Arabidopsis thaliana: one gene and its partner. The protein of the gene in region 2 interacts with the protein of the main gene of each other region in a pairwise test. Each region holds a gene or a part of one and is shown on either strand. Other genes may lie near its edges. The genes, in order: DFL2 and BOP2.

Evidence for each region.
Region 1: the proteins of BOP2 (region 2) and DFL2 interact in a two-hybrid assay, tested with the Arabidopsis thaliana proteins (one large-scale study listed by BioGRID).

What each region holds. Positions count from the first base shown.
Region 1 is NC_003075.7:1,499,723-1,503,648, forward strand, and holds the start of DFL2 (Auxin-responsive GH3 family protein), read right to left. Parts: upstream 1,878-3,926; 5' UTR 943-1,877; intron 848-942; 5' UTR 557-847; intron 385-556; 5' UTR 8-384; coding exon 1-7. Other genes in the region: AT4G03410 (Peroxisomal membrane 22 kDa (Mpv17/PMP22) family protein), read left to right, coding at 2,185-2,520, 2,640-2,780, 2,857-2,970, 3,049-3,222, 3,325-3,440, 3,577-3,781. UniProt on the Arabidopsis thaliana protein: Catalyzes the synthesis of indole-3-acetic acid (IAA)-amino acid conjugates, providing a mechanism for the plant to cope with the presence of excess auxin. Involved in red light-specific hypocotyl elongation.
Region 2 is NC_003071.7:17,238,477-17,242,402, reverse strand, and holds the start of BOP2 (Ankyrin repeat family protein / BTB/POZ domain-containing protein), read left to right. Parts: upstream 1-1,793; 5' UTR 1,794-2,199; coding exon 2,200-2,685; intron 2,686-3,394; coding exon 3,395-3,926. UniProt on the Arabidopsis thaliana protein: May act as a substrate-specific adapter of an E3 ubiquitin-protein ligase complex (CUL3-RBX1-BTB) which mediates the ubiquitination and subsequent proteasomal degradation of target proteins. Acts redundantly with BOP2.

The DNA of each region.
Region 1 (3,926 bases), on a different chromosome or scaffold from region 2:
TTTCCATCCAATACCAAGTCTTTCAAGGCAGTATAGTATCTCAACGATGCAAAATGAGTAGAAGTCCTAACCCAACATATAGGGGAGTACTGGTCATTGACCACTCCCTTTGTCTTCAGACAAAAGAAATTTCTTTGTGTGTATAGTTGTTCTCACCTTTTTTGGGTCTCCTTATTTGTCTTTTTAATAGGAAAAACATCACAGATACCTCCATAAATGTCACGGGAATTACCGTCCACAAATTCTATCAACACTTAATACAGCTATTAATGCGTTCTCACAGAAGAGTATCCCAGTCTCAACATGTGCTCAAGAGACAAACCTTAACCACAATGTATTTTGCAACTATCATCCAGTGTGGTCCCATGAAAGCCTCTTTGCCTCCTAAAAACCAAAACCCCTACATCATGTTAGCTATCTTTCAACTGCTTTCCCTGTTAATAATTCAGTGAACATAGCCACAAATATGGACATTATTAAATGAACAGAGCTCTCAAACACCTATTTGAGCAAAATAGCATTAGAAAATTTTAGTTCTTCCTATAATGTGGCTAACCTTTTGATGTTTCTTTCTCTGCAAATATCTGGATAAGCATGTAGGACCAAAGCTACCAAGCATCACAAGTTGCACAAGATATTTTTTCTTTTGGGCAGGCTGGCTCTTCCCTCAACCTCAACCTTCACAGGCCCACCACTAGTTTCAACGGGTCTAACATTTAAAGTCCCTTCACTTTCTATCTCTCTCCTCAATCACTATGTGCACAAAATTCCAACCATGGTTTTGCAAGTCGAATGAATCTCTTTAGCCTTTTTCTCCCTCATTATCTTCTTGATGGGTAATTAAATCCTAAAACATCTTATCAAAGCTCCGTAAAGCAAAGGACTAGCTCCACGTTAATCTTAGTATAAGCCAAAAACAGAATTGTCACCAGCTCATCTTACCTCCAAGATAACCAAACAAAAAACGTGGGTAGTACATGACCATTCTTTGAGAAACATTCAAACTGCTTTCAAGAAGTGATTATCTCCTAACCAGACGAAAACTGTTAGGGTACACAGTACATCTTTGGAATTTAGGTACACAGTATCATTCATCCCTGGTTGGTGAACTCGGAATTTGGGTACACAGTACATCTTTGGATGCAACACACAGAAAAATCTAAGCTGTCCCCATACGGATGAATCATTAACGTGGTGTATTTGACTACATTTGGCTTGGCCTCCTTAACGAATCATATTGCAGAAAAACCACATAACCTTCATGTAATTTTCCCTTCTTGCAGAATCTCCAATCACTAAACTACAAGCCTGAAAGTCACTTCTCATCCAAATCTTGATACAAAGCTAGGCAATACTCAAAACCTGCATCATTGTCATATCATTTCTCTACCCTACCTTACAATACTCCTTGATCATGCCTGTTGTAAGTAACATGTAGTCTGATCCTGCAACTGCCCACAATCTCAAATACATGCTTTGTCAAATCAATGAAACATCAAGCTCACCAGAGAATTTGAAGTATGCAAATTGGGTTCAATCCCATTTTCTCTTACCTTACGCCTAAACCCTCCTCTACCATTCCAACCATTCCAAAACTCATAATCAGAGAATTGGCCAAAAAAAATCAGAAAAGACCCAATTTTTTTCTAATTTGATCACAACCTAATCCTATCAACATCGTTAACCAAACAAAGCCAATACATTTACCAAGGATATACGTATGCATATTGCAAAGATCACCCGATTTTATGAATTTCAGAAAAAACCTTCCGCCTGATTCTCTTGAATCGTTTTGATCAGACTGCCGTATCGGCGGAGACCACGATGGTGTAGTCCTTGAACATGTCTAGATCTTAAACCAAAACGGTAGGACTCGAAGCAACTGGTCCTATGGTCTAGTGGTCAGGACATTGGACTCTGAATCCAGTAACCCGAGTTCAAATCTCGGTAGGACCTTTGTTTTCGGCTTCGGTTTTGAGATTGTGCAAACCGGTTTTTAACCAAATTAAAACCCACCGGTTATTGGTTTTAATTTAACCGAAACTCGGTTCGGCTCAGTTCCTACCGTTTGGTCACCAAAGTCTGCTGCTTCTTTTTTGTTCTCTAAGTCTAAAAACCTCTCCTTTGGCTGTGAGAGAGCCAACGAGAAGAGAAAAAGTATCTTCCTTTGAGAAGTGCAAGTCCATGGCAGCTCTCTGTTGTTGTCCCACCACCATCATCGTCTCCGGGAAGGTTTCTTCACGGATTAAAACCGCAGGCCCATTACCCCGAATCAACCCTTTTAAGAATCAGAAACGATTGATTACAGAGAGAAGAAACTTGATCGTTAAATCGATCATTGAAGACAGAGAAGCAATCGATGTTAAAAATGACAATTTCAAGGCAGAGGAAGAACTATCAGAAGATAAAGTAGAAGATACAGATCGGCTGATGAGTCGAGGTATCAACGCAGCTATAGTTCTCGCCGCCGGTACCGTTGCGGTTACTAAGCTTTTAACCATTGATCATGACTATTGGCAAGTAAGCTTAGGGTTTTCTTTATCTCTCTTGTGATTGATTGGTTCTTCTATCTCTGCAAAGCTTGCTCCTTTATGGGATTATACTGAAATTGATATCACGATTGTTGTTGTTCTTCTTAGGGTTGGACTCTCTACGAGATACTTAGGTATGCACCTGAACATAATTGGTTTGCGTATGAACAAATTCTCAAAACAAACCCTGTTTTGGCGAAAATGGCGATTAGTGGAATTGTGTATTCTTTAGGAGATTGGATTGCACAAGTAAGAAACTAAAAATACTCTAAAAAGCTTCTTAATTTGAGTTCTCTCTGACCATTTTGGCTGTAACTTTATGCAGTGTTACGAAGGAAAACCGCTGTTTGAGTTTGATCGAACTCGTGTTCTTAGATCAGGTCTTGTTGGATTCACACTCCATGGTTCACTGTCTCACTATTACTACCAATTCTGTGAGGTAAAAATCAATCTTTGCTCTGTCAAGATATGTTGTATTAACAACGGGCTGAAAGCTAAAATCTTTTCTTTGTACAAGGCTCTCTTTCCTTTTCAAGAATGGTGGGTAGTCCCTGCAAAAGTCGCATTTGATCAAACCGTATGGTCTGCAATTTGGAACAGTATCTACTTTACAGTTTTAGGGCTCTTGCGTTTCCAATCTCCAGCTGACATTTTCAGCGAAATCAAGACAACATTTTTGCCAATGCTCACTGTAATTAACTCTCCTTGCCCTGTGTCTTCGTGATCATATATAAAGCTTAAAGTTAGTCTGTTGATTTTATCTAAAGGTTATGTCATGATTTTGTCTATGCAGGCAGGCTGGAAACTCTGGCCATTGGCACACTTGGTTACATACGGTGTAATCCCTGTAGACCAAAGGCTTCTTTGGGTAGATTGTATTGAACTCATATGGGTCACTATATTATCAACGTGAGCCTTCTTCAACTTCAATCTTTTTTATCCAATGTATTTGAAAGTGTTGCACATATTAGCTTTGTGGCTATCATGAAGAGAAGTTTTGTGTTGCTAATATCGGTTGCCTGATTTTCATTTCGAATTCTGGAAGTTACTCGAACGAAAAAGCTGAGGCGCAAGCATCAGAGGAAACGAACTCCAGTTCTCACTCAAGCGAGGTTTGCCAAGTGTTCCTTTTTTCCAAGAATCTCTCTTCAAAAATTAGTCTTGAGCGTTTGAATGTTTGTTCAGAGTGTTCATCTAAGCTAATTTGTGCCTGCAAATACTTGACAGGATTAGGTGATATCAGCATGTAGATTCTAGATTCTATAGACTCTAACAGGAGGTGGATGAAGAACACAAGCACATATATACTTTTTTTTTGTTTAGAGAGATACCTAAAAGCAATGTATATACACATTTGATTCATGGATTCCAAGAGAGAATCGATGAGGCAAATCC
Region 2 (3,926 bases):
CTCCATGTCCGTCCCACTCTCTCTCCCATCCATGTGTATTTTTTTCTGAAATTATTATTATTTATAAAGAAAAATGAATTTAATTTAATTTGATTGGTCCAGTCCAACTAGTTAAATACAGCTTTCTCAACTGGTGAATATATATATGGGTTCGGACCACGACTGCGCCATTATCAGAGCCCCGTCTTGACTTCTGTGGTTGGATGTTTCACATTAATTTCATTCTCTACCTGATTGATTTGATTTTTGTATGTTAGAAGAATAATAGCTTTGTTTGATGATTTACTACTCTTTGATTTTTTTTCCATTAACATATATCTTGATAATCAGTTAATCACTATATCGTATACTATTGAAGTTTAATAATTTACAAAAAAATGCATTTTTATGATAAAATTTATATAACCATGTTTATAATTTTAATTTAAAAACAATAATTTTCTAATAACTTGTTTTGAGCTACTGACAAAAAAATATCACCATATTTATGATAAAATTTAGAGCTTGATTTTTAGTTTCTACATTTAACTCATCAAATAATTATATCAAGAATAAAAAACATGGATCACACATTTAATTAAAAATTATTGGATAAATTAGTATTTAAATTATAGACATATATAGATAAACCGCTTAAAAAATGTTTTAACCCATAGTATTTCTTAGCTCCTTGCCCTTTTCTTTGTTATTCTATTATGTTGCCATCTAGTGCAGTTATCCTTATTTATGAAACGTATCTTACATAATATACAAAATGTTTAACATTTTATGTATAGTATTATAATACATGATAAGTCCTTTAACAAAAACAAAAAAACATGATAAGTCATCATAAAACTTATATAAATTTACTCGACTATAAATGAATAATTCAATCCACAACAAATGCAAATACCTTTAACAAAAAAAAAAAAATTTAAAATATCATCAATTAACAACATGCAAATCAGTAAGAAATATTGAATTCATGATATGTAGTAAGAGAATTTTCAATGAATATACTCCATGTTGTTTACAAAATTTAGGGATTATATCTGTACATAAATAAGTAAAATTTCGATAATTTTAGGCTAATCTTACTAGGATTAGTTTTATTACAGTTGATTACTAAGTATTTACTAAAGTAAGAAAATCCAGTTCTTACGTAAAATCAAGAGACCAAAATTTTCCTTCCCGGATCTTCTGGTTAGAAAAAAAAAAAAAAAAATAGAAGGTAAAGTAAATTTAAATAAGAAAAAAGAAAAAGTAAAGAGGGGCAAAGGAAGATGGTGAGGATTGGTCCAACGGTCAAACAGAAAACCATCAAATCAGATTTCACTACAGTTACGAAATTTATTTCACTCCTTCTGTCTTTTAACTTAATTAGGCCTATGTTCTTATCCACCATCTTCCTCTCTTTTTTTACCATTTTATCCCATCCTCCATTTATATGTGTAACGTATCCATTGTGTTGCTCAGGCTTTCACATGGTTCTGTATCAAGCCAAAAAGACAATTGCCGAGGATCTTGGATTTATTATCTTATCACCCTACTACTCAATTCATATCCCTCGTTTGTTTGGAAATCAGATTTAAGTAGGATTTTCATTAGTCAGGTGCTAATGATATTTCATTGTTTATTAACACTTTTATTAAAATTCTCTCGTTTCAATTATTTCCATTTTCCATTAATAGATTTGGCCCACCTTTGTATTCTTTTCTTCTTAATAATTGTTTTCCTATTTTAGTAACCAAATCACTAAATTTCAATTCATTAATAATACTTTAACCCTTTTTATAATCAGCATCAAGACAAAACACTGAAACAGTTATAATTTTTTTTTAACCATCTTAGTTTAAATATCTGAGCCGCCCGGTTCATCCATTCAAATCTCTCTCTCACTTACCAAACCCAAACAAATATCTAACACCACAAACTCAAAGCAATAAAGAATCCTTCTCTCTCTCTCTTTCTTTCTTTCTTCTTTCAGAGAGGAGGAGCAAGAAAGAAGCTTCAAAAGAACAAAGCTTAAGCTTTTTCCCCCGGAAAATTTGTTCCCCTTTTTCGAAAAACTAATAATTCGTAACTTCATAGCCAACAAGATCAATAAAAGGAGGCAACTTATTTCTTTCATTCTCTCTTGTAAAGAGTACTTGCTAAACCCTAGCTTTTGTTCTATAGAGAATCCAAGAACCAATCAATTTTTTATTTTATAAAAAGATGAGCAATCTTGAAGAATCTTTGAGATCTCTATCGTTGGATTTCCTGAACCTACTAATCAACGGTCAAGCTTTCTCCGACGTGACTTTCAGCGTTGAAGGTCGTTTAGTCCACGCTCACCGTTGTATCCTCGCCGCACGGAGTCTTTTCTTCCGCAAATTCTTTTGTGGGACAGACTCACCACAACCTGTCACAGGTATAGACCCGACCCAACATGGGTCCGTACCCGCTAGCCCAACAAGAGGCTCCACGGCCCCAGCTGGAATTATACCAGTGAACTCAGTCGGTTATGAGGTTTTTCTGTTGCTACTTCAGTTTCTTTATAGCGGACAAGTCTCCATCGTGCCGCAGAAACACGAGCCTAGACCTAATTGTGGCGAGAGAGGATGTTGGCACACTCATTGCTCAGCCGCCGTTGATCTTGCTCTTGATACTCTCGCCGCCTCTCGTTACTTCGGCGTCGAGCAGCTCGCATTGCTCACCCAGGTTCTCTCTTTCTCCCTCTGCTTTCACTCTTCTTACTCCATGCACATCACAAGAAAACAAAATTGAAAGTTTCCACTTTTTTGTTCTTGTTCTGCTTCTTTTAGAGTGTTTTCTTTCATGTGCTTGGCTTAATTTTGGTAAATTACGAAACGCTTTTGATTCGATTTTTATTTGTCTTTCTTTGGGTTTGGGTTAAATTTATTACAAATCGCGAAACCCTTTTGGTCTGATTATTTTCTTTCATGGGGTATTTCGCTTAAGATTTTTAATTTTTAATAACAATTTTTTATTTGTTAAATTATATATGTTCTTGTCTTGATTTCATGTATAAATGAGTTTAAGTTTCTTGCTTTGGAACAATTTTCATCGGATAAAGTTTCCGAAAGCAGACGAACGGTGGTTTTATTGCACGGAAGAGAATTTTCCTAAAAGTAGAAATCTATGTTATGTAGTTGGATCTATTCATTTCTTGGTCTTAATTTCTTATCCAATCCCACAATTTTCCTCATTTGGGGTTTCGATTCTAATCTATAGATAAGGAATAAAACCTACTCCACCATACAAAAATCCATCTGAGATGACAAGAAAGTTAATTAATAGCAAAAAAATCCATAACCTAAAAATGGAAATTAAACCCCACTTGCTGAAAAAGTCGGTTCTTTGGATTTATATCATACTTATCAAATAAATTGTTTTGTATGATTGGCAGAAACAATTGGCAAGCATGGTGGAGAAAGCCTCTATCGAAGATGTGATGAAAGTTTTAATAGCATCAAGAAAGCAAGACATGCATCAATTATGGACCACCTGCTCTCACTTAGTTGCTAAATCAGGTCTCCCACCAGAGATTCTTGCCAAGCATCTCCCTATTGACGTCGTCACCAAAATAGAAGAGCTTCGTCTTAAATCTTCTATAGCTCGCCGTTCTCTAATGCCTCACAACCACCACCATGATCTCAGCGTGGCTCAAGACCTAGAAGATCAAAAGATTAGAAGGATGAGACGAGCTTTGGATTCATCAGACGTGGAACTAGTGAAGCTGATGGTAATGGGAGAAGGACTCAATCTTGATGAGTCGTTAGCATTGCATTACGCTGTTGAAAGCTGTAGTAGAGAAGTTGTGAAGGCTTTGCTTGAGCTTGGAGCTGCCGATGTGAATTATCCGGCGGGTCCGGCAGGGAAAACACCTTTGCACATCGCGGCTGAGATGGTCTCTCCAGACATGGTGGCTGTTCTGTTAG